Linked DNA regions of Stegostoma tigrinum. The protein of the gene in region 1 interacts with the protein of each later gene in a pairwise test. Links are inferred from orthologs where the notes say so. Each region holds a gene or a part of one and is shown in the gene's direction. Other genes may lie near its edges. The genes, in order: tnfaip3 and tax1bp1b.

Region 1 (11,384 bases):
TTAATGGGAACCAGACTTTTTTTTTCTTTATTCTTTCATGTCTTCTCTGATAAGTCTCATGTTTTCTTCCCATCCCTAATTTTTGATGACAGGTCACTGAACTGAAATATGAAATTTGTTTTTCTGAATATGCTGAATATTTTAAATATTTTCTATTTTTATTCCAGATACACAGCATGTACATACAGTTCCGAAATAAATAGGGAGAGAGGGGGAGGCGGAGCGAAGATGGAAGAGGAGAAGATAGGTGGAGAGGAGAATATAGGTGGGGAGGTAGGGAGGGGATAGGTCAGTCCGGGAAGGACCGTCAGGTCAAGGAGCCGGGATGAGGTTAGTAGGTGGGAAATGGAGGTGCGGCTTGAGGTGGGAGGAGGGTATAGGTGAGAGGAAGAACAGGTTAGGGAGGTGGGGACAAGCTGGGCTGGTTTGGTGATGCAGTGGGTGGAGGGGACAAGCTGGGCTGGTTTTGGGATGCAGTGGGGGAGGGGGAGATTTTAAAGCTTGTGAAATCCACATTGATACCATTGGGCTGCAGCGTTCCCAAGCGGAATATGAGTTGCTGTTCCTGCAACCTTCGGGTGGCATCATTGTGGCACTGCAGGAGGCCTATGATGGACATGTCGTCTAAGGAATGGGAGGGGGAGTTAAAATGGTTCGCGACTGGGAGGTGCAGTTGTTTATTGCCAACCGATCGGAGGTGGCTACCTCTACATTGGGGAAACCAAGCGGAGGCTTGGGGACCGCTTTGGAGAACACCTCCGCTCGGTTCGCAATAAACAACTGCACCTCCCAGTCGCGAACCATTTTAACTCCTCCTCTCATTCCTTAGATGACATGTCCATCATGGGCCTCCTGCAGTGCCACAATGATGCCACCAGAAGGTTGCAGGAACAGCAACTCATATTTTGCATGGGAACGCTGCAGCCCAATGGTATCTATGTGGACTTCACAAGCTTTAAAATCTCCCCATCCCCCACTGAACCCCAAAACCAGCCCAGCTCGTCCCCTCCCCACACTGCATCACCAAACCGGCGCAGCTCGTCCCCGCCTCCCTAACCTGTTCTTCCTCTCACCTATCCCCTCCTCCCACCTCAAGCCGCACCTCCATTTCCCACCTACCAACCTCATCCCGCCTCCTTGACTTGTCCGTCCTCCCCGGACTGACCTATTCCCTCCCCACCTCCCCACCTATACTCTCCTCTCCACCTATCTTCTCCTCTATCCATCTTCAGTCCACCTCCCCCTCTCTCCCTATTTATTTCAGTTCCCTCTCCCCATCCCCCTCTCTGATGAAGGGTCTAGGCCCGAAACATCAGCTTTTGTGCTCCTAAGATGCTGCTTAGCCTGCTGTGTTCATCCAACTACACACTTTGTTATCTTGGATTCTCCAGCATCTGCAGTTCCCATTATCTCTGATGTACATACAGTGTTGTGTTTCTGCGATAAAACTTGCTTCTTTGAAAAGTGTGCAATATATCTGGCCTCTAAGGTATAACATGTTATCATGATGAATGTTGGAAAAGATCTACTCAATGGTTCATTCCGGTATGTAATTTATGCTCAACATTACCGAACAATTTAATAAAATAATGATTTAAAGAAGAATATTTAATGGGAACCAGACTTTTTTTTTCTTTATTCTTTCATGTCTTTTCTGATAAGTCTCATATTTTCTTCCCATCCCTAATTTTGCTTGAACTGAATGGAATACTACACCACTTCAGCAGGCAGTTAAGAGTCAGCTACATTGGTATAAACATAGAAACATAGGAGAAAGGAGCAGGAGGAGGCCATTCAGACCTTTGCATCTGCTCCACCATTCTTCACAATCATGGCTAATCATTCAACTCAACAGCCTAATCCTGCTTTCTCCCCATAACCTTTGATCCTATTCGTTCCATGCACTATAACCAGTTGCCTCTTGAATACATTCAATGTTTTGGCATCAACTACTTTCTGTGCAAATAGTTTCTGCAAAATTGCACAAAATATTCCAGGTATGGTCTCACCAAGGTCCTGTCCAACTGCAACAACACATCCCTGTTCCTGTACTCAAAACCTCTGGCAATGCAACCCAATATACCATTTGGCTGCTTTACTACTTGCTGCTCCTGCACGCTTACCTTTAGTGACTGGTGCACAAGGACACCCAGGTCCCACTGCACACTCCCCTCTCCCAATTTACTGCCATTCAGTTAGTAATCTACTTCTTGTTTTTGCTTCCGAAGTGAATAATCTCACATTTACCCAAATCACACTGCATCTGCCATTGATTTATTCACTCACCCAACCTGTTAAGATCATGCTAAAGGATCTCTGTACCCTCGTCACAGTTCACCCTCCTTCTCCGCATGGTATCATCTGCAAATTTGGAGATGTTACATTTTGTTCCATCATCCAAATCATTAATATATATTGCGAATAGCTGGTGTCCTAGCACAGATGCCTGTGGCACCCCACTAGTTACAGCCTGCCAATTTGAAAATAACCCGTTTGTTCGTTATTCTTTATTTCCTCTCTGCCAACCATTTTCCTATCCATCTTAATGCACTGCCCCCAATCCCATGCACTTTAAACTTACACATTAATGTTTCATGTGCGACTTTGTCAAACACTTTCTGGCTCCCCTTGTCAACGTTACGAGTTACATCTTCATAGAATTTCAACAGATTTGTCAAGCATGATTTCTACTTCATAAATCCATACCGGGATGGGTCTGAAGTCACAAAAAGAACCAGACCAAGTAAGAACAGTAGATTTCCTTCTCAGTGAGGGATCAATGAATGAGATGAGTTTTTACAAGATTGATGATAGTTTCATGGTCACTATTTCTGATACCAGCTTTCAATTCCAGATTATTTGAATTTAAATTCCAACCACTGATAATGTGGATTTTAACCTATATATCTCCAAAATATTAACTGAGACTGCTGGTTGACTAGTCCAATAACAGTATCACTGCATCACTATCTCCATGTATGCAATTACGGTTGTGCTACCGGGAACCAGAACTCAGGAATGTCAATGTTGTGTGTTGTTTAACCTTGGAATTGTTACTGTTGTGTACTATCTGAATGTGGAAGTATCAGTTCTGTACTATGTATTATTTGATTTTGCATTATCTGAGCTAAGAACTATTCGTGCAGAGCATTCTCTTTACTTGAACATAGACAGGTTTCTCCAGGATTGTCTATGTTTGTTTTAGGACAACAGATTGCCTTCTTCAAAGAACATTAATGAGCCAGATTGAACTCATGTCTCCAGACTTTATGAAGGAGGTGCTTTTTTTCAGGATGCTCTGAAAAGAGTAGGGGTAAAGACTTAAAGTTTAACAAAGAGGATTAACATGGCAGCCATGGAGGCACAGTATAAGGAGATGGTAGATCCTGTTGGATAGTTTCCTGAGCAGAAATTGGCAGAATGCCTCTTTGTCAGAATTTAGAAACAAGCGTTGAGAACACAGCTTGAATGGTGGTGATAAAGACCTTACTTGCCAGATCTTTCCTACATGCTCAGGGTCTCATCACCTCCATACTTTGGCCTCAAGGTGGCTGTGTTAGGTAAAATACTAATGTCCATCTGCCGAGCTAAATGTGCCTTTGCATTTATAATCAGACTGAGTAGAACATGATCTATTAGGACAGGTTGAAGTTTCTTACAAAATCTGGAATATTCAAGTAAAATATTTTGCCATTTACAAATTTTATGAATAAAGATTTTTAGAAGAAAACATGTCTAAAGACTGTAGAATAAAGGTTTATATTGTAAATCTATACATTTGAATTTGTGTGTACAAATGCATTAGCGCACTAATGACTAATGTTGTAAATTAGTAGACTTGCATTAATGATCTAGTGACATGAGTCCAAATCCCACCAAAGAATTAACAGCTTGGATTGTGAATAGTGAATTTTTGAAATTACCAGATTGTTGTAAAAATTGATCTGGCTCATTCATACTCTTTAAAGTGGGCAATCTGTTGTTCTAAAACAAACAGAGAATCCTCGAGAAATTCAGAAGTCTGGCAGCATCGCTGGAGAAAGAAACAGAGTTAACATTTTAAGACGGTATGACTACTTCTGACTGGACTCAATGTTAACTCTGTTTCACTCTCTACAGATGCTGCTAGACCTGCTGAGTTCCACCAATGTTCTCTCTGTTGGTCTTGGATTTCTATCATCCACAGTATTTTGCTTTTAATCTGTTGTTTTAATCTGGACTAATATGTAAGTGGGTCCAGATCCATAGCAATATGTTTGGTTTTTAATGATTCTCTGAAATAGCCCAGCAAGTTATTCATTACATTCAAAATGGTGGCACACAACCATCTTCTCAAAGTCAATTAGGAATGTCTAATGATGGCTAGCCTACCTTATTACATCCAAATGTCATGAATAAATTAATAAAAAATATTCACTAATAATATTGTGAACTTCTGTGATACCATCATCAGTTCGCTCTAAAAGTACGAATATAGGAACCAAAAGTTAACTTTAATGTCAGGAGGTCATGAGATAACATCTTTACTCTTGAAAGAAAATTAAAGGGAATTCATTTTACTGAAGTGTCAAAGAATTTAAATGATGTTCAGTAAACCTGGAGCATTTCTTCAGTATATATCTTGATGATAGGGACTGGGAACATAAGTGTAAAATAATGAAAATGAATATAAGACTACTGGCTTTCTATCTCAAGGACCAGAATACAAGGGGGTAAGTTTTATTTCAGAGATAGAAATGCATATTTTAAATGATACCCGGAATCTCTCTGACAGTCACCTACCTCATTAAACATTGATTTGGGCCTTTGGTGGTCAACCCTTTGGTCAGTGAAACTGCAAGGTCTTCTTCAGAGCACAAGTCAAAACTTACTGAGGCCGTGTGCTGTCAAAAATCAGGAAACCTAAGCTTGCCCTGCCCTTTTGGGCCCAAAAGAGTGCACATTTGACACTAGTTTGGCACAGGAGTCACCCAAGGTAAAAACACAGTTAGGCATCAATTTGAATTTGGACTCCACTTCAGGTGTTTTGTCATTTTATTACTCACATTAGGCTTCAACTTTTCCAATGTAGCCACAAGGCAATGAAGCTATCTGCACATAACTAGGAACTTGGTTCATGAATGCCAGGGTATGTCCACATGCTAATGGCCCTGATAATCCTTCACTGTATGTCTGGGGGCTTACCATCCTCTGAGTTCCTCAGAAGCTTTAGACTGGGGTCATAAATGATCTGGTTTCTATGTGCTTCCATGAGAAGATATAGCTGAGCACCTGCCAATGGAAAGGCCGTATACTGACAGAGAGGAACATTCACATTTGGTTCACTTTTTCAAATAGCAGCTAGCCAACTGAAATCCAGTCCAGCACACAAACAGCAGGAAGCATTATATTTCTTTTCATCCAATTCTGGACACAGCACATCGACATTGAGTAATGTGTTCAGTTCAGGGTGCAACAGCTAAGGAAAAATATAATGACCTTGATGGGAGTTCAGTGGGGATTTACAAGGATTTACTAGAATGATAGGTAAACTCAAAGGGTTAAATTATTTCTTGGGTTTTTTTTATAAGCAATTACATAAGCTAGTGTTTCATTCCCTGGAATTTAGAACATGCTGGGGAGATTTGATCAAAATTTTCAAGATATTAAGGGGAAGTGATATGCAGAAACAATGTACTGGTTGGAGAATCTAAGACATGGGGAATAGCTAAAAAATTAAAGGTGGGTCACTTAACAGTGAGGTCACATGAAAAATGCAGTTGTTGTGAGATAATCTGTAAATTTTAAAACAAAGTTTGATACATTACAATAGTTAAAAGTAATAAAGGTCATGGAGTAAAGGCAAACTCAAGTCACTGTCAACTATAGACAATGGAACAGTCCTAAGGGCTAACTGGTCCGATCTTCCTGTGGTGGGAAGAATTTATTCACATGAAGGGATCAGTAAATGGAGGAGAATTCCAGGTATAATACTATAGAATGATCACATTCACAGAAAGAGGCCATTCCATGTGCTCTGTCTGTGTTGGCCCTCTGCAAAAGCAATTCACTTTCTGTGTTTTCTGAAGAAGGGTCTAGGCCCGAAACATCACCTTTCCTGCTCCTCTGATGCTGCTTGGCCTGCTGTGTTCATCCAGCTCTAAACTTTGTCATCTCACTTTCTGTGAACTCCTGTTGCCATTTTAGTGGCAACAAAATTCCTGAAGCCATTCTTAAGCCACTTCAAATGATGCGATTCCTCTAAATGAATAAGCAAAAGGAGGCCAAATGCAACATATTGTATTATGACATGTGATACTTCACTGCATTGTGACCTCGGCTTTTTTTTTATCTGCCCCATATCAGCCTGCGTCCAAAATGAATGCAGACATTGGGAATGCTGAAAAAACTCTTCAGGTCAGCATTTTTGAGAGAGGAACAGAGTTAGCATTTCGAGTTTCGTAAAGTTTCTTCTAATTCAGATTTCCAGCAACTACAATATTTTTGCCTTTATTATGTATGTCTAAAATGAATGCTTTGGAATATTTAGACATCCTTTTCTTTAGTGTATAAAAATGTGATCCAACTGGGATTAGATTTTGTACAAGCATGAGATTTAGATAGACTGCGACCTGGGCTCTGGGGCTCCCTCTGTCGGTGACCAGGACAAGTCAGAGCAAAGTCTGGTTGGAAATCCCCGCTGGAAAGTCCCGGCGTGGTTTCCCTTTTCATCTCGTTCAGTTTCTGTCTTCTGACTTTCGCCAAGGGAGGGGAGATAGAGAGAGAAAAAAAGTGTCTGCAAACCGAACTCATTGTAATGCGAGTGTAGCCCAGAGCCTGCAGTAGCTTTGCAGTTTAAGACGAGAGAAGAAGGGGGTTCCGCACACTAAGGCCAGAGCGAGACTGGTTTGAAAACCCATATAACAGGTACATGTTGTTTCTGACTTGCAAGTAGCAGGTGTTTTCTGTGTGCTCTGTTTGCAGCATGCTTGATTTTTTGTTTAAATGTGACTTGCCTAGTTGCTTCATTCATCAGGAGCTGGCTGTTTTTGAGTGGACCAAACATTAATGTGAACTCACTGACTTTGTCTATCTCCCTCAGGGGCTGCTGTGGAAGATGGCAGCTGAAGGCAGTTTGTTGCCTCAGTTTCTCTTCGCCAGTAACTTGACTAAGACGGTGAGGCTCAGGGAGAGGATCGCCAATGACTTAGTCAGACCGGACTGCACCAATGGTTTGATACACCATTTCAGGAGCCTTCACAGATACACGGTGGAGCTGTTCCGATTGAGTCATTTCAACCTTCGTTTCAGGACTAAAATCCAAGACGCTCTGTTTGACAAGGCCCAAGAGGCTGCCCTTCAGCAAAACAGGAACCTTAACTGGTGCAGAGAGGTCAAGAAACTTGTGCCTCTGAAGACAAACGGTAAGATTTACAACTCATTTTTCTACAATTTTGAAAGTGGTGTCGTGTCTTTAATCTGCACTGCCTGTAAAAGAACTAGCATTCTGAAGAGGATATATAGTGATTGCCCAGTAGATTAATGGTTGGAAGATTATGTGCTTTCTAATACTTAATTTCAGTCCTTCACATCAACAAAATATCTGGATGCAGAATAAGGATTTAATCAGCCCTCATCGTCTATGAATATAGGATTGAAAAAGATAGTCACAGACTTCTAAATCATTAAAATGTAATATCAGCTTAGTGGATATCACACTGCATCTATACACAATGTTTATGTATCTATATTTGATGCTTAAATTAATTGAAGTTGTAGTAGAGTCTGTTTCCACATAGTGGAGTTAGCTGAATGACAATTAATTGATGTTTAATTTTTTCATTCAAAGTCAAATATTTAATTCTTCCAAATAAGGAAATTTTCTGTGTAAGTAATATCTTAATATCCAAAGAAAAGAACAGGTGGATTACTTCAGGAGCCAAGTACTGAATGATCTATTCATCTTAGTACAGTGATCCTCCATTGTAATCAGGTTTGATTTGATTTTAAATGAAACCTTGTATATAATTGTAAATTTCATTGCTTTACTTTGTAAGTAGTATTTCAAGACTATATGATGTGAATGTATGTATTTTGCATTGAATGTGTGCAAATAAAATGCCTAGGATTTTTTGAAAATGTGTTTCAGCTGGTGTTAGCTGTTAAATAGTTGTACATTCACCCAAAAAGATTTGAAATTTGGGCGGTTTCTCAGGTATGAAAGCTTGCAGAAATTGTACAAGGTAGTTTGCAATATTAGTGAAAATCACTACAGCAGCTGAATCCTAAATGTATTGTTCCTTAACTGTGGACAGATAATAGTGTTTCATACTGCTCACGAACAATACATTTTTTTGAAAGCAATTTTGAAATAATTCTGAAACTTGCTGTTGCTCTTTCATGCAGTTTCATTTTCAGTTTAAGAAGTAAAAGATTCATTATGAAAGTCTAAGCATTGAAGCCAAAAAAATCCTTCATGAACATTTATAGAATTGTGTCTCCACTGTGGGGAACAATATCAATTGTGAATTCATGTTTGTTTTTTCCATGAGTTATTTGCCAATAGAGAATGTACAGACTACATTCAGAAATTTAGGTATTTTCAGTGATTCAGTGCTGACGTGTCTGGGGATATGAAAATATTGTAAATGGGGAAGAGTGTAGGTGTCTGTTAAAATTAAAACTTCCCCTAAAAGTCCCAACAGCAATTGGTTGAATCAAATTTTACTTGTGTAATGTATAAACATTCCAAGTACCCAACTCCCCAACCACACCCACTTGGAAATTCCACTTCACAAAATAGGGCTCAGACAGCTACACATTACAAAAGAGAAATGGCGACTAGCTGGCTGACTGACTGTATGCTGTGTTAGTCAAATTGCTACTCATTTGGAAATTCCATAGATTGCACAGGGAATTTTATACGGCCCATTCTTAAAGTCTGAACATTGAACTCTGTGCATTCCGTGATGATTAATTTTAGTGCCCTTTTCAATGTGTACCATGCCTTAAATAGGTTAGATCTGGTTATAACACCCGCCTCAGTTTTATTTTCCCTTTCTTTTTCTTCCTCCATTTTCAGCTCCGCCCCACAAAAAAATTACAAATGAACTATAAATTTCTGTTGCAAATAGGTCCACGTGTTACTCGTTCTTCCACCATATTCAGTTTGACTGCTATAATATGTATTATGAGGACAATCTTAAAAATCATCATGTAATAGTAAAATACTGTGCATACTGCTATTCTGAAACAAACCTGGAAAACACTGGAGAAACTCGGCAGGCCTAGAAGGATTTGTTAGAGGAAAAGAGCGTTAATGTTTTGCATATAAAATGCCCCTTCCTAAAATCACTGTGGCAGTGTAAATGCGTTGGAAAACAGTTGATCAAGGATACAAATGTTACTATAATTTTATTTTTTTAATTCTTGTGGTAAACAATAACAAGCTTTATTCTTTTGTAAGGATAATTTCAATAAATTAATGAACTTAAGCTTCGTGCTTTTAAACTCCTGTATTGAAATTTGAAAATGTGATAGTAACCTTGGAATATTCACTAAATCTGGGCAGTATAAAACACCATTCTATTTCAGATGAACTCAACTCCTTATAGTTATAATTTTGTCCAAAACGAATTGGTTAAAAAATGAATAAGCTTCCCTTGTCTACTATGAGAAAACAAAATACTGCTTGAAGTCTGAAATAAAAGCAGTAAATGCTGGAAGTACTTGGGTCAGGCAGTAACAATGGAGAGAGAAACCAAGTTAACAATTCAAGTTTACATCAAAACAGAGATAGTAGGAACTGCAGATGCTGGAGAATCTGAGATAACAAGGTATAGAGCTGGATGAACACAGCAGGCCGAGCAGGAAAGCTGATGTTTTGGGTCTGATTTCTGAAGAAGGGTCCAGACCCAAAATGTCAGCTTTCCTGCTCCTCTGATGCTGCTTGGCCTGCTGTGTTCATCCAGCTCTACACCTTGTTATCTTACATCAAACAGTTCTAGCGAAGTTTAAGGGTCTGATTTATATGGGACAAAATGTTCCAGGTCCCAGAGTAGGATCAGGAAAATAGTGGGGAACAACACTGGGAATGCTTCCTGACACATATCCACCGAGAGACAAATTTTTGCAGGGTGGAAAGGAATCGCTGTGCACTGTAATGCCCATCAGCTTAATGTAAACTGTTTTCATGAGGCATTCCAGAAACATTGGAGCTGAAGGCTCCATCCCTCAAAGAAGTGGCCACTGAAAGCAAAAGCTCCTAGCAAGTGCTGGTGGCTATTCCAATTTGGCCTTGATGTCAAGACCCCAGTGGTGTGAGGAGAATCCTACCTGTTAATTCTGTTTCTGTCTTGCTCTCTGCACAGATTATATATATATATGCTGCATGCTTCCAGTATTTTCTATTCTGTATGGTGTTTTCAAAGCCGTCTTTCCAAAAGAAGGGATTAATGTTCATTATAGCTGCTTTTTTTAAAAAAAAGTGCTATCTGTAGAAATTAAAAGGCTGCTTGAATGTTTGGCCATGTCAGGAGGAATCTCAAAATGCACTTCTGTATTACTTTTGAAACACAATCACAGTTGTTTAGTAAGTAAAACGTCTAATTTGCATACCAGTTACCACAAATGTTGACCAGACAGTTGCAGTTACTCCCTGCTCCTCTTCAAATTATACATTTGAACTTTTTAAATATTTCTTCTGAAAGCACCTTTAAGTATGCAACATACTTTCAATACCAGTATTAGGTTTATTTTTATGCTCAAATGTGCAGTGAAATCTCATTCCCAAAGATCTGATTCTGGAAAAAATGTTACTAAATAGACCAAAACAGCTCTGAACTTGTTTATGTAGTTAAGTGTTAGTGAAATATCCAAGTGCTGTAACTTGTCTATCCTAAATTTAGCAAAGTTGTAAACGATGGGCAGTCATGTAGTTTACTTAATCTAACTCTGACATTAAATTCTGCTTTCTAATTTGATGCCCCAATGGAGAATAGATTGCTATGAATTATATTCACTGTTGGTCTGAACGGGTTTTACAGTTTGGTCCTTTTATCTGCATGTAAATATCCGAGACAAACATTTCCCTTTGAACACAACCAAGCTGTGTTTTGGCCAGTTTCATCTTGCAATAGCTTTTGTTCCTGTTCATGTTGTTTTCATACCTTCACACTTTGGAAAGCAGTGTGATGTTGTGAAATGAATCATAACTGGTTGTGCATGTGAACATTTCTGCCATGGCAATAAATATCTTTGTATTAGCTCATAGAATGCTTAGTGACAGGTAGCATTTTATGAATACCTACAGCCTTAATGATGTTTGATTTGCGAAGCAAAGTGAAAGACTTTTGAGGAATCGAGAATAAGCCTTACATCACATAATAGCCAGTGGATCTCCTTTT
Region 2 (11,463 bases), on another chromosome or scaffold:
TGACCTTACAATGGAGGTAAGACCATTGTTGAAGCAGCTGAAGATGTCTGTACCTAGGACATCACCTGAGGAGCTCAAACAGAGATGCACTGGAGTTGAGATGTCAGACATCCAACAACCACAACCATCTTCCTTTGTTCCAGGTATGACTCCAACTAGTGGAGAGTTTTCCCCCAATTCCAGTTTTGCAAGATTCCTTGATGCGAAGAGCATGCACTCTTCACCTCAAATTCTGTAGCTGTAACACTGTTCTGCATTATTACCCTGATTTCTCTGGTTAGCACACGAAACAATACTTTCCTCTGGATCTCAGTACATGTGGCAATAATAAGTCAATTTTTAAAAATATTTAAAAGTTGTACTCATTTTTAAATGGGAAGAATCAAATGTAAACTAACTGCTTGGAATCCAGTTAAATTTGAAATAAAAATAACTGGAAACAAACCCAAGCAATGTTCAAATCAACAATTGTCAAGAATGAATTTACATGAACATCATAACCTCAGAATGATTAAACCAACAGACAGCTATCCTCTGACAGATGCGGTTTTAGGATGCCTTTAGGATACCTATAATATGAACATGCTCTCAATTTGACCCTTTCCAAGGCTGGCCTTGCATTAGCCACATTCTAACCAAAGGCACTAATGCTACTTGCACACATTTTTAAAGATAAAGGACTGTCTGTAATTGGACCAGTTTTCTAATTATCATTTCATGAAATCCATTCTTACTTGATCTGCAACTGATTCAAAAAGGTGAGAATTAAGAAATGGAACAAATCACAACAGCAAAAATAAAAAAAAAATTGTCACAAACATGATTCTACAAAATTCAAGACCACTGAATTACCTGGGCTCCTAAGTCCTCTATTTCCTTGCATGATTCTGGGAAGACATCTGAAGCAATAATGGGATAGCCATGCTTTATGAGGTTCTTTGCCATTGGATTACCCATGTTGCCCAGACCAATAAATCCCACTTGGGCTTTCGAGGCCATTGATCTGGAAGACACTATTAGACCAGTCCTTTTTAATTACAACAGAGTGACACCTTTCATATTTTGCAAGTTACATTCATACTTAGTAAAGTCAAAAATGTATTTGGCTTTGCACAGGACTAACATAAAATAGGAGTAAACCCAAAAATGGGAAAAGTGTAGTTCGATGTCATTTATGCTGTTAGCCAATTTCAACTCATCCAGCTTGGGATATTACAATTCTGCTTTTCTCATTTCTCTAGTGACTTGCTTACAATTCTAAATTTCTTCTGCACATTCTTCTAGCTCTCAACTCCACTTAAGAAATGGAGAAAATATGGCATTCGTCACCATTGCTCACTACCTCATGAGAATCTATTCCAGGTTAGCAATAGCACAGTGTGGAAAAGAATCTCATCTCAAACACAGCAAACAAAATAGGAACAAGGTCGTGCTGCCCTTTGAGCCTGTGATGGCATGACCATGGCAGATCACCAACTCAGTTTCTGCTTTAAATGCCATAACTTTTGATCCCTTTAACCCCAAGAATTATACCTATTTCCTTTCCTTCTTGAAAAGAAGATTTTGGCCACAACTATTTTCTGAAAAAGGATCACTGAATTCAAAATATTTGTGCAGGCTAGGTGGATTGGCCATGCTAAATTGCCCATATAGTGTTCAGGGGTGTGTGGGTAATGGGGGGCTGGATCTGGGTGGGATATATCAAGGGGTGGTATGGACTTGTTGGGCCAAAGGGCCTGTTTCCACACTGTAGGGAATCTAATCTAATCAACTTTTTCCTCTTTACGAGAACTGCCAGAGTCACTGAGTTTCTCCAGCCATTTCATTTTTGTTTCAGATTTCTAGCATCCACAGTTACTTGTCTGGCAATACTTCAGGTGTGGTCTCTGCTGGGCCCTGCACAATTGCAGCAAAACATCCCTGCTTTCATACTCAAATCCTCTCACTATTTAGGATAACATACCGTTTGCCTTCACCCCCTGCTGCAATTGCATGCTTACACTCAGTGACTGGCATAAAAAGACAGCTCATTGCACCACCCTTTCATAATGTATCATTCAGATCATAATCCACTTTTTTGTTTTTGCTACCGAAGGGGATGACCTCACATTTAGACACATTATACCCCATCTGCTATGTATTTTCCCACTCAGTCAGCTTGGCTAAATTGTACAATTCATCTCAACATCCTCCTCAGTTCACCCTCCCACCCAACTTTGTCATAGGCAGACAGAGGCACATTAATTATTTAGATCAAGGAACTAAATGTAATGTTCTGTTCTGAGAAAGGGTCACTGAACCCCAAACATGAACTCTGATGTTTCTTTCTTCACAGATGCTGAGTTTTTCCAGCAACTTCTGTTTTTGTTACAAATGTAATGTGTTTTGGGAACAGCTCTGGTCCAAGCATTGATCCCTGCAGTACCCCACCAATCCAGTTTAAATCTACTTTTAAAAAACTTGTCCATTAGCTTAAGCAATCTGACCTAATAAGTTATAATACTCCAACTACTCTTCCTTCCTTTTCTACTTCAATTATGTGAATAAGAGGGTTGGAAAATTGTGTTTTTAAGCACAATTACCTGACTGAGAGTCAAATCTTCAAAATTCACCTCAGCAAGCTGTGTCAGTAACTATAAAAAAGATGAAATACACACGACAGGTATTATGTATTTAAAAACTGTAGTATGCATCCAAGTGTTCTCCATAGAAAAAGGTTTGGATGCTGCAATTTTAGACTCCCTCACACCACGATAATTTTATGCTCTATTTCAATAGTCAATGATTTATGGGTTATGTTGAAATCTGTACAAAGCACTGCTTCAGCCTCATGTACAATATTGTTTGTAATTCTGGATACCACTCGGCATTACACAGTGGAAAGGATCTGGAAAGCACTACCTGAGAATGTGGTGGAGGATTTACTATCTAGGCAGGGGGAAACATGCAAGGCTTCAAGGAGAATACAGAGGAATGGCAATAACTAAATTGCTCTTGGCAAGAGCCGACAGGTGTGATAGGCCTTATGCCCTTCTGTGCTGTAACAACTGTGATATTATAGGTAAACAGGGATCAAAGACCTTTTAGGTCAACAGAGACATTGAAACAAAATTCCTCAGTTTTGCCAGGAAACTTAGTATACGGAAATGGTATTTCAGGTGGATGTCTCAAAAATAGAATCTTCTCCTACATTTCTAACATAGTGGTACATTTACCCAATTACCTCCAAAAATGCTGTTCGAGGAAGTCATAAATTTATAACTGTAGTTTTATTGTATTAAGTGTAAACTGCATTATTAAGCAAAGATGAATTTAGTGTTTCATGCAAGTTTTAAATCATGGAGTTTTACTTTTTTAAATTTAGATATTTACAAGATGTAACATCTGTGTAGGCTTCTTCACCACAGAAGATCTGAACGACTACTATAAAATTAAATTGTTTTTGGAACAGTCACTGACGTAATGCAGGTTGATACAACGCTGCAACCAAGTTTTAAATTGTGATAAGGTCAAACCTCACGATAAGATGTCTGCCATACTTAGAAACGTTATTTATTAACTAGAGTGGAGGACAGGTCAACAGAATACAAATACATGAACCTGCCTCGCTCCCCTTCTCAGTGTACCCTTGATCAAGTTGCCAATGCAACTGCAGTTGCAGGCGATCTCCTTTTCTCCACTCAAGTCGTCATGCATTTCATCTTTACTGAATTCCTCCAAACCGTCTTCTGACCCAAAGTAGAAATTTATGCCTCACTAGTTTGTAAGCAATTACTCGTTCTATGCCCTTGATTTTGTGCCGTGTTTGATGCTGTTGACCATCACGACCACAACATCATATCTTCATTACACTCCAGCTTTGTAACTACTTTTCAATGGTTCCACTCTGAACTAACTGAAGTTGTTGCAGTGAGGGCTACACTTCCATCGATCCAAAATTCCCCTCTATGCTCAACTATGAAGACCTCTTCTTGGCCCATGACCTCTTCCACATTTACATGGTGCCCCATGCCAAAGTCATGAACTATCACAAGGCCAAAATATCAACACAGATTACCATCAACATTGTCGAAATAGCTGCATTCTCTCGTGTCAATGGTAACTATTTAATTTTCAACAGTATCTGCCATTAAAGATCAAGACTCATGTTTTGGGGCTGAACAAGAAAACTACACTCACCCTCGTTTCCAACTTCAAACCCTCCCCAGCAAAACGCATGTTGTCCAAAACAGATCAAGTATTACCATTCAACACGATAGACTGAATTCCAAATCCAACAGCAGATACAACATATATCCAATTTCACGAGACTGATCTATCCTCAGATTTTCAATTGCTGAAACCTTGGTCTATGATGGTACATCAATTTTGTCAACAAATTCCTCCCGCCTCCCATTCTTCATTCCACATGAATTCCAGCTTATTTGAAACTCAGTGACTGATGCCATTTCCCACAGTATTGTTCAACATAAAAAATGCTGTAAATGCAATTAAGTTCACTGAATGACCAACATTCACATAATTAGTGGGAAGGATGGCTAGATGATGTACATATCCATATTTTGGGCAGCATAGTGGCTCAGTGGTTAGCACTGCTGCCTCACAGCACCAGGGACCTGGATTCAGTTCCACCCTCAGCTGACTGTCTGTGTGGAGTTTGCACATTCTCCCAGTGTCTGCGTGGGCTTCCTCCCACAGTCCAAAGACATGCAGACTAGGTGGCTTGGCTATGCTAAATTGCCCATAGTGTTCAGGGATGCCTAGATTAGGTGGGTTAAAAGGGGGAATGGGTCTGGGTGGGTCAGTGTGGATTTGATGGGCCAAAAGGCATGTTTCCACACTGTAGTGATTCATTAAAAAATGAATCACTATAATTTTTAAGCAGCATTTAGCATAAAAAGGTGCCAATCTTGGTCAATCACCAATTGACCTTAGTTGGGGCAAAGTTTTCAATACTAAAACTCCTAACCATACCCCAAGCACCACAGGCTCCCGATTACAACCCAAACAGCTAGAAAAGGTCACATGTGGACATAACCAGGTTTAAGGCAGGATTTTTTTTTTTTAAAAAGTAAAGCCATTATCATGCATAGAACATAGAAAGCCCCCCCACCCCCCAAAATATTTAGTTTAAAAATCACAGCTATTCTGCAAATTTATCAAAATCATGGATAAAAACTCATTTTTAATACTAGCACAGCAACAAAAGGCAGGAAGTTCTAAAACATCAGGATACTCCAACTGAAGATACCTCTAAATTGCAGGAAGCAAAAGAAAGCTAAAAAGACCAAAGTGTGGGAGCAGAGGTACACCTGGAATTGGTTAAAACAGCAGAAACAGGACCTTGACAATGAGGTAAAATACAAATGAATTGAACTTGTCAGCATTAAGGTGCAGGATTGGGAAAGGAGTTAAAACAAAACTGTCTTCCATCACCCTTTATTAATATTAGTCTCATCAAGCACACCATTAATGTCCTTGGCCAAGATGTTGGAGAACTACAAGCATCTGTTTGCTGCATTAGGAGTAAATTGCAGCACTGTCAATTCTGCAGTCATTTGTTTAATAATGCCAAATGTACTCTGAAAATTTGTCAAATTCAAACGTCCCAACAAGCCTAATACAATTCTATATTTGAAAAACTCCAAGCATGTTTCACAACTGAATTCTATTTTCAACATGCAAGATGATACAAATTCCACCCAGACCAAACACCTGATGCCAAATGTTACACTTAGAAGTGTTATATAGTTTTGGAAGGCTTTTTTAAAAATCTGTTGTACAAACGTCACTAGTTATCTTGCAAACGGATGAACAACACCAAAGAAAAATCAACTAGTGTACAACAATCCACATGTATGAGTTAAGATATGAGAGAAAAACTTCGGAGCCCGCCCTTTCAACTTCTACTAAAGTGAGTTAAAACCGTCGGAGTGTTACTATACAGATGACAATTGGGGTGGGCTAAGGGAGAGAAAAAAAACAGAAACATATTTTAAGTTATTGCAGCTTCCACTCTGGCTCCTAAAGGAACGTTGTCCGACAGGTCCTTGTAAAGCCTTCACGCTCAGCATCGACATTTCCACGAATGCAAACCAAAAAAGTGCACAAAAAAACAAGCAAGAAGCCTTACCAATACAGTGCCGAATATAGTTAGTATACTTGAGGGACAAGTTGCTTGACCTCCTTATAACGGCCGCCATACTTATGTTCTCTGGCCGACCTCTAGTTGCTGTGATTGCCAGGCTGAGCAGCCTATCACCGGGTAGAGAGAAGTGGGCGTGACAGAGCCCGCGCCAATGCATAAGCTGCAGGCGATGACGCAAGCGCTAACCAATCAATAACATCTGGCACCGGGACATCCCTGGAATGAGCAGCTGAAGCTCGTAGCACTTCGGCATTGCTGCTTTCTTACTCCTAGTTAAACTCGGTCCCCGAGCTCCCATCTGTTTACCACATTTGTGTCTGCCAGAGCGATATTATTCAGCACGGGATGGAGATTTCTTCCGATTTGTGAAAAAGGACGTGATTTGAAACCTCAAGTTTATAATTCGTGCCCTGATTACAGCTTCACTGCTACAAGAACCGGACAATAATCCGTCCATTCACATTTTTAAATGTTGCTTCAAGAGTGATGCTTTGCATAGCAAATCCATCCAGGTGATTTGTTTCAATTCGTTCGCATGCACTTGAAATACTTATTGTAAAATCTTCTATGATCTTACTTGATAGTGTTCGCAGCAAGTCAACCAATTGTTCTTAAGCTTTGATTAGGCAGTTTTTTTTGTTTCCTACTGTTAACAATAAAATGTAAATTTCTTTCAACCTTTGTGGGAGGCTAGGGAGGAAATTGTGGGGCCCCCACCGGAGATATTTGCATCGTCGACTGCCACGGAAGAAGTGCCTGAAGGTTGGAAGGTGCCTAATGTTGTACCATTATGTAGAGAAATGTCTGGGAACTACAGACGGGTGAGCCTGACGTTGTTAGAGGGGATTCTGAGAGACAGATCTGCAGACATTTGAGGAGGCAAGGACTCATTTGGGATAGTCAGCATAGCTTTGTGCGTGGGAAATCGTGACAATCGTGACTCATGAATTTGAAGAGGTGACCGAGTAAGTAGATAAGGCTATTGAGGTAGATGTCTACATGGCCTTTAGCAAGGTACCACATAATGGGTTGTTGAGTAAGGTTAAATTTCACAGGATCCAGAGAGAGCTAGCCAACCAGATACAAAATTGGCGTGATGGGAGAAGACAAAGGTTGGTGGTAGGGGGTTGATTTTCAAGCGAGATGCATGTGAACAGCAGTGTTGGATTGGATAAATGATTTGGATGGGAATTTAGGAAGCATGGTTAGTAAGTTTGCTGATGACACCAAGATCGGTGATTATAGTGGACAGTGAAGGTTGTCTGGGAATACAGCAAGATCTTGATCAACTGGGAAAGTAGGCTGAAGAATGGTAGATAAAGTTTAATTGCATTTTAGTAGTTCAAACCAGGGCAGGACTCACACAGTCACCGGTAGGGCCCCGGGGTGTGTCATTAGAACAAACATCCCAGGGTAAAGGTTCGTAGCTCTTTGAAAGTCGAATTACAGGTAGACAGGATGGTGAAGGCAGCTTTTGGCATGCTTGCTTTCATCAGTCAGAGCAGTATAGGAATTGGGAAATCTTGTTGCAGCTGTACAAGATGTTGGTAAGGCTACATGTGGAGTACTACAAGCAGTTCTGGTTGTCCTACTATAGAAAGGATATTATTAAACTAGAAAGAGTACAGAAAAGATCTACTAGGATGCTACCTGAACTGGAAGGTGTAAGGAGAGGCTGGATAAGCTGAGAGTTTTATCCCTGGAATGCCCAGAAGTCTATTAAATTATGAGCGGCATAGTTAAGGTAGAGACCCAACAGTTTTTCCCTAAGGTAGGGGAGTCTAAAACTAGAGGGCCTAGTTTTAAAGTGAGAGGAGAGAGAGCTACAAAAGAGTCCAGAGAGCTAATTTTTTTTTACACCAAGGATACTGTGAGTCTGGATTGGGCTGCCTTCTGAGGAGGGGTCACTGGACCTGAAATATTAACACTGATTTTTTCTTCACAGCTGCTGCCAGACCTGCTGAACATTTCCTTCAACTTCTGTTTTCTGTTCTATGACTCTGTAACCTTGTTTGATCGTTAAATTGCAATGCACGAGAAATACAGTGGACATCCATGTACTTTCTCTTTCTTTTTAAATAATGAATGACAGATCTTGAAATCATTACTAGTGCAATGAAACTAATATTTATTGATTTGTAATATTTTAGACAAAAGCAAGAAGAACACAAATGAAGTAATGCTACAATATTTGCATTGTATACTCTTAACAGCAGTGGAATAGGTCATTACCCTAGCAGGTCCTTGCTGCTATGTATGCAACACATAAGCTTCCATCGACATGTCTTTCTTTAATCATGTCAATATATCCTTCTAGTCATAAGTCATATTGTGTAAAAGGGCTGTTGCACGGCAGTGGTATTGTTCACCCTTTGTGTCACACAGTCTGGGTTCTACAGGTATCTGAACAGGTTGATTTAAAATATCTACAGTTATGACAGCACAGAAGAAAGTCAACGACCTGTTTAGTCCATGCCAACAGTCTTCACTGCAATTGAGTCACTTTCATTTCCCTGTTCTATCTTACAGCCTTGCAAATTTATATTTCAGTTTAATTTTTAAAGCATTTCTTTCTTCCTCAAAAGCAGGAAAAATCCGACCTGGCCAATACTGCCCCATCAGTCTACTTGATGTCACCAACAGTGCTTTCAAGCAGCCTCTCCCCACTTGGGGTTCCCCCAGGGCTGCTCAGCTCCAGACCTCAGTACAGCCTTGATTCAAATACAGACAAAAGAGCTGAATTTCAGACATGATGTGAGAATGACAGCCCTTGACATTGAGGCCATTGTGGCCAAGAAGCCCTACCAAAACTGAAATCAATGGGAATCCGAGGAAAAAGTCAGCACTGATTGAAGTCATTTCTAGTGCATAGGAAGATGATTGTGGTTGTTGGTGTGTTATCCCAGCGCCAGGACATTTCTGCAGGAGTTCCTCAGGGTAGTGTGCTACAGGCAAAATCTTCAGCCACTTCATCAATGACCTTCCCTAATGTAAGGACATAAGGTCATAAGCTCATAAACAGGGATGATTCACTGATGATGGCACAATGTTCAGCACCGTTTGTAACTCCTCAAAGTGAAGCAGTCCATGTCCAAATGCAGCAAGACCTGAAGAATATCCAGGCTTGAGCTGATAAGTAGCAATCAACATTTGCGGCACACAAATGCCAGGCAATGATCATCTTCAGTGAGAGACATTTAACCACCGCCCCATGAAATTCAATGGCATTACCATCCCTGAATCCTTTATATCAATATCCAGGGAATTGACTAGAACTGAACTGGACTCGCCATATAAATACTGTGTAGGTCAGAGACAAGAAACACTGTAGCAACTAAGTCAGCTCTTGACAGAACTTGGCTACAGTTGGTGCTTGACAATTCTGCCTTGTTGTGTATCTTGAAGACTTATTGGGTAAGCATCCTCCAAGACAATAGATGAATGGACACCATGCAACAATCACTAGACAGGAATGCTCCTCCCATTTGGTGAAAACTTAAGCGGTGAAGGACATTCAGCCCTTGATCTTCAGGTAAGCATCCTCCAAGGTGGCCTTCGAGATACACAACTATGCAGAATTGCCAAGCAGAAACTGATAGCCAAGTTCTATACCCATGAAGATGGCCTCACCCGTGATCTTGGGTTCATATTGTGCTACCTGTGACCCCACCACATGGTACTATATCTATACAATCTTCCCTCCTGTCTTGTTTTGTCACCATCACCTGGACAAATTGTTATGATCTCTCTACCTTAATTAGTTTGTACAGTTTTATTATTTGGCACTTCACTCACACCATTTGTGTAGTCTTTGATCTCTGTCTGCCATTAAATTCTGTGTCTGTGTTTCTTTCTCACTTGACCTGAAAAAGACACTACACTCTGAAAGTTTGAGATTTCAAATAAACCTGTTGTCTATAACCTGGTGTCATGTTACTTCTAACCTTGAACACATTTGACCCAGCCTCAACAGGCCTCTGACAAAAAGAATTTCACAGATTCACAATCCTTGAAGAAGAAATTCCTCCTCATTTCTTTTTAAATGTTCTCTTTATGTAATCTGAGATTAATCTCAATAATCTCATAATCCGAGTTTATGCACTTTGCTACTGGACTGTTCCAGAAGGGAAATAACCTTTCGGCATCTTTATACACAGTTTGGATCGTCTAATTACCAATGTTACTGCACATTACACACACATAACTGACGGACCGAACACACTGTTCTCATTAAGGGTCGCTGAACCCAAAACGTTAATTCTGATTTCTCTCCACAGATTCTGCCAGACCTCCAGTGAGTCATACAACACAAAAGCAGACCCTTCATTCCAACTTGTCCAGGCCAACCAGATATCCTTAACTGATCTAGACCCATTTCCCAGCATTTGGCTCATATCCCTCTAATTCCTTCTATTCATGTACCCATCCAAATGCCTTTTAAATGTTATAATAATATCCACTTCCACTATCTCCTCTGGAAGCATGTTCAAGACATGCACCACCCTCTGGGAGAAACTGTTGTTCCTAGGTCCCTTTTAAATCTTTCCCATCTCACATTAAACCTATGTCCTCCAATTTTGGACTCCCCTAGCCTGGGGGAAAAGACCTGGCTGGCATTCCAGAGAAAAACCCAGTTTATTCAGCCTCTCCCTATAGCTCAAACCCTCCAAACCCCGCAACATCCTTGTAAACATTACTGAACTCTTTCAAGTTTAACATTTTTCCAACAAGGACACCAGAATCGAATGCAGTATTCTAAATGTAATCTCACCAATTTCTTGTACAGCCGTAACATGACATCCCGACTCCTATATTCAATCCGCTGATCAATGAAGGCCAGAATGCCAAGCATCTTCTTCATCACCCTGTCTATCTGTGACTCACTTTCAAGGAATTATGAACTTGCACCCCTAGGTCTATTTGTTTGGCAACATTCCCTAGAGTGCGACCATCAGCAGCGGTTAATGAAGAGCGCTGTCAGAGATTACAGCAGAATATAGATAGATTGGAGAGTTGGGCAGATAAATGGCAGATGGAGTTCAATCTGGGCAGATGCGAGGTGATGCATTTTGGAAGATCTAATTCAAGAGCAAATTATACAGTAAATAGAAAAGTCCTCGGGAAAATTGATGTACAGAGAGATCTGGGTGTTCAGGTCCATTGTTCCCTGAAGGTGGCAATGCAGGTCAATAGAGTGGTCAAGAAGGCATACGGCATGCTTTCCTACATTGGACGGGGTATTGAGTACAAGAGTTGGCGGGTCATGTTCCAGTTGTATAAGACTTTGGTTCAGCCACAGTTAGAGTACTGCGTAC

The links.
Region 2: the proteins of tnfaip3 (region 1) and tax1bp1b interact in binary tests that used the Homo sapiens proteins (3 or more experiments, as listed by UniProt). The link is inferred for Stegostoma tigrinum from reciprocal best matches to the Homo sapiens genes TNFAIP3 and TAX1BP1.

Annotation. Positions count from the first base shown.
Region 1 is NC_081357.1:45,695,703-45,707,086, forward strand, and holds the start of tnfaip3 (tumor necrosis factor alpha-induced protein 3), read left to right. Parts: upstream 1-6,655; 5' UTR 6,656-6,906; intron 6,907-7,081; 5' UTR 7,082-7,096; coding exon 7,097-7,403; intron 7,404-11,384. UniProt on the Homo sapiens protein: Ubiquitin-editing enzyme that contains both ubiquitin ligase and deubiquitinase activities.
Region 2 is NC_081355.1:58,213,778-58,225,240, forward strand, and holds the start of tax1bp1b (tax1-binding protein 1 homolog B), read left to right. Parts: upstream 1-6,406; 5' UTR 6,407-6,660; intron 6,661-11,463. Other genes in the region: 3-hydroxyisobutyrate dehydrogenase, mitochondrial-like, read right to left, coding at 853-1,013, 6,134-6,203.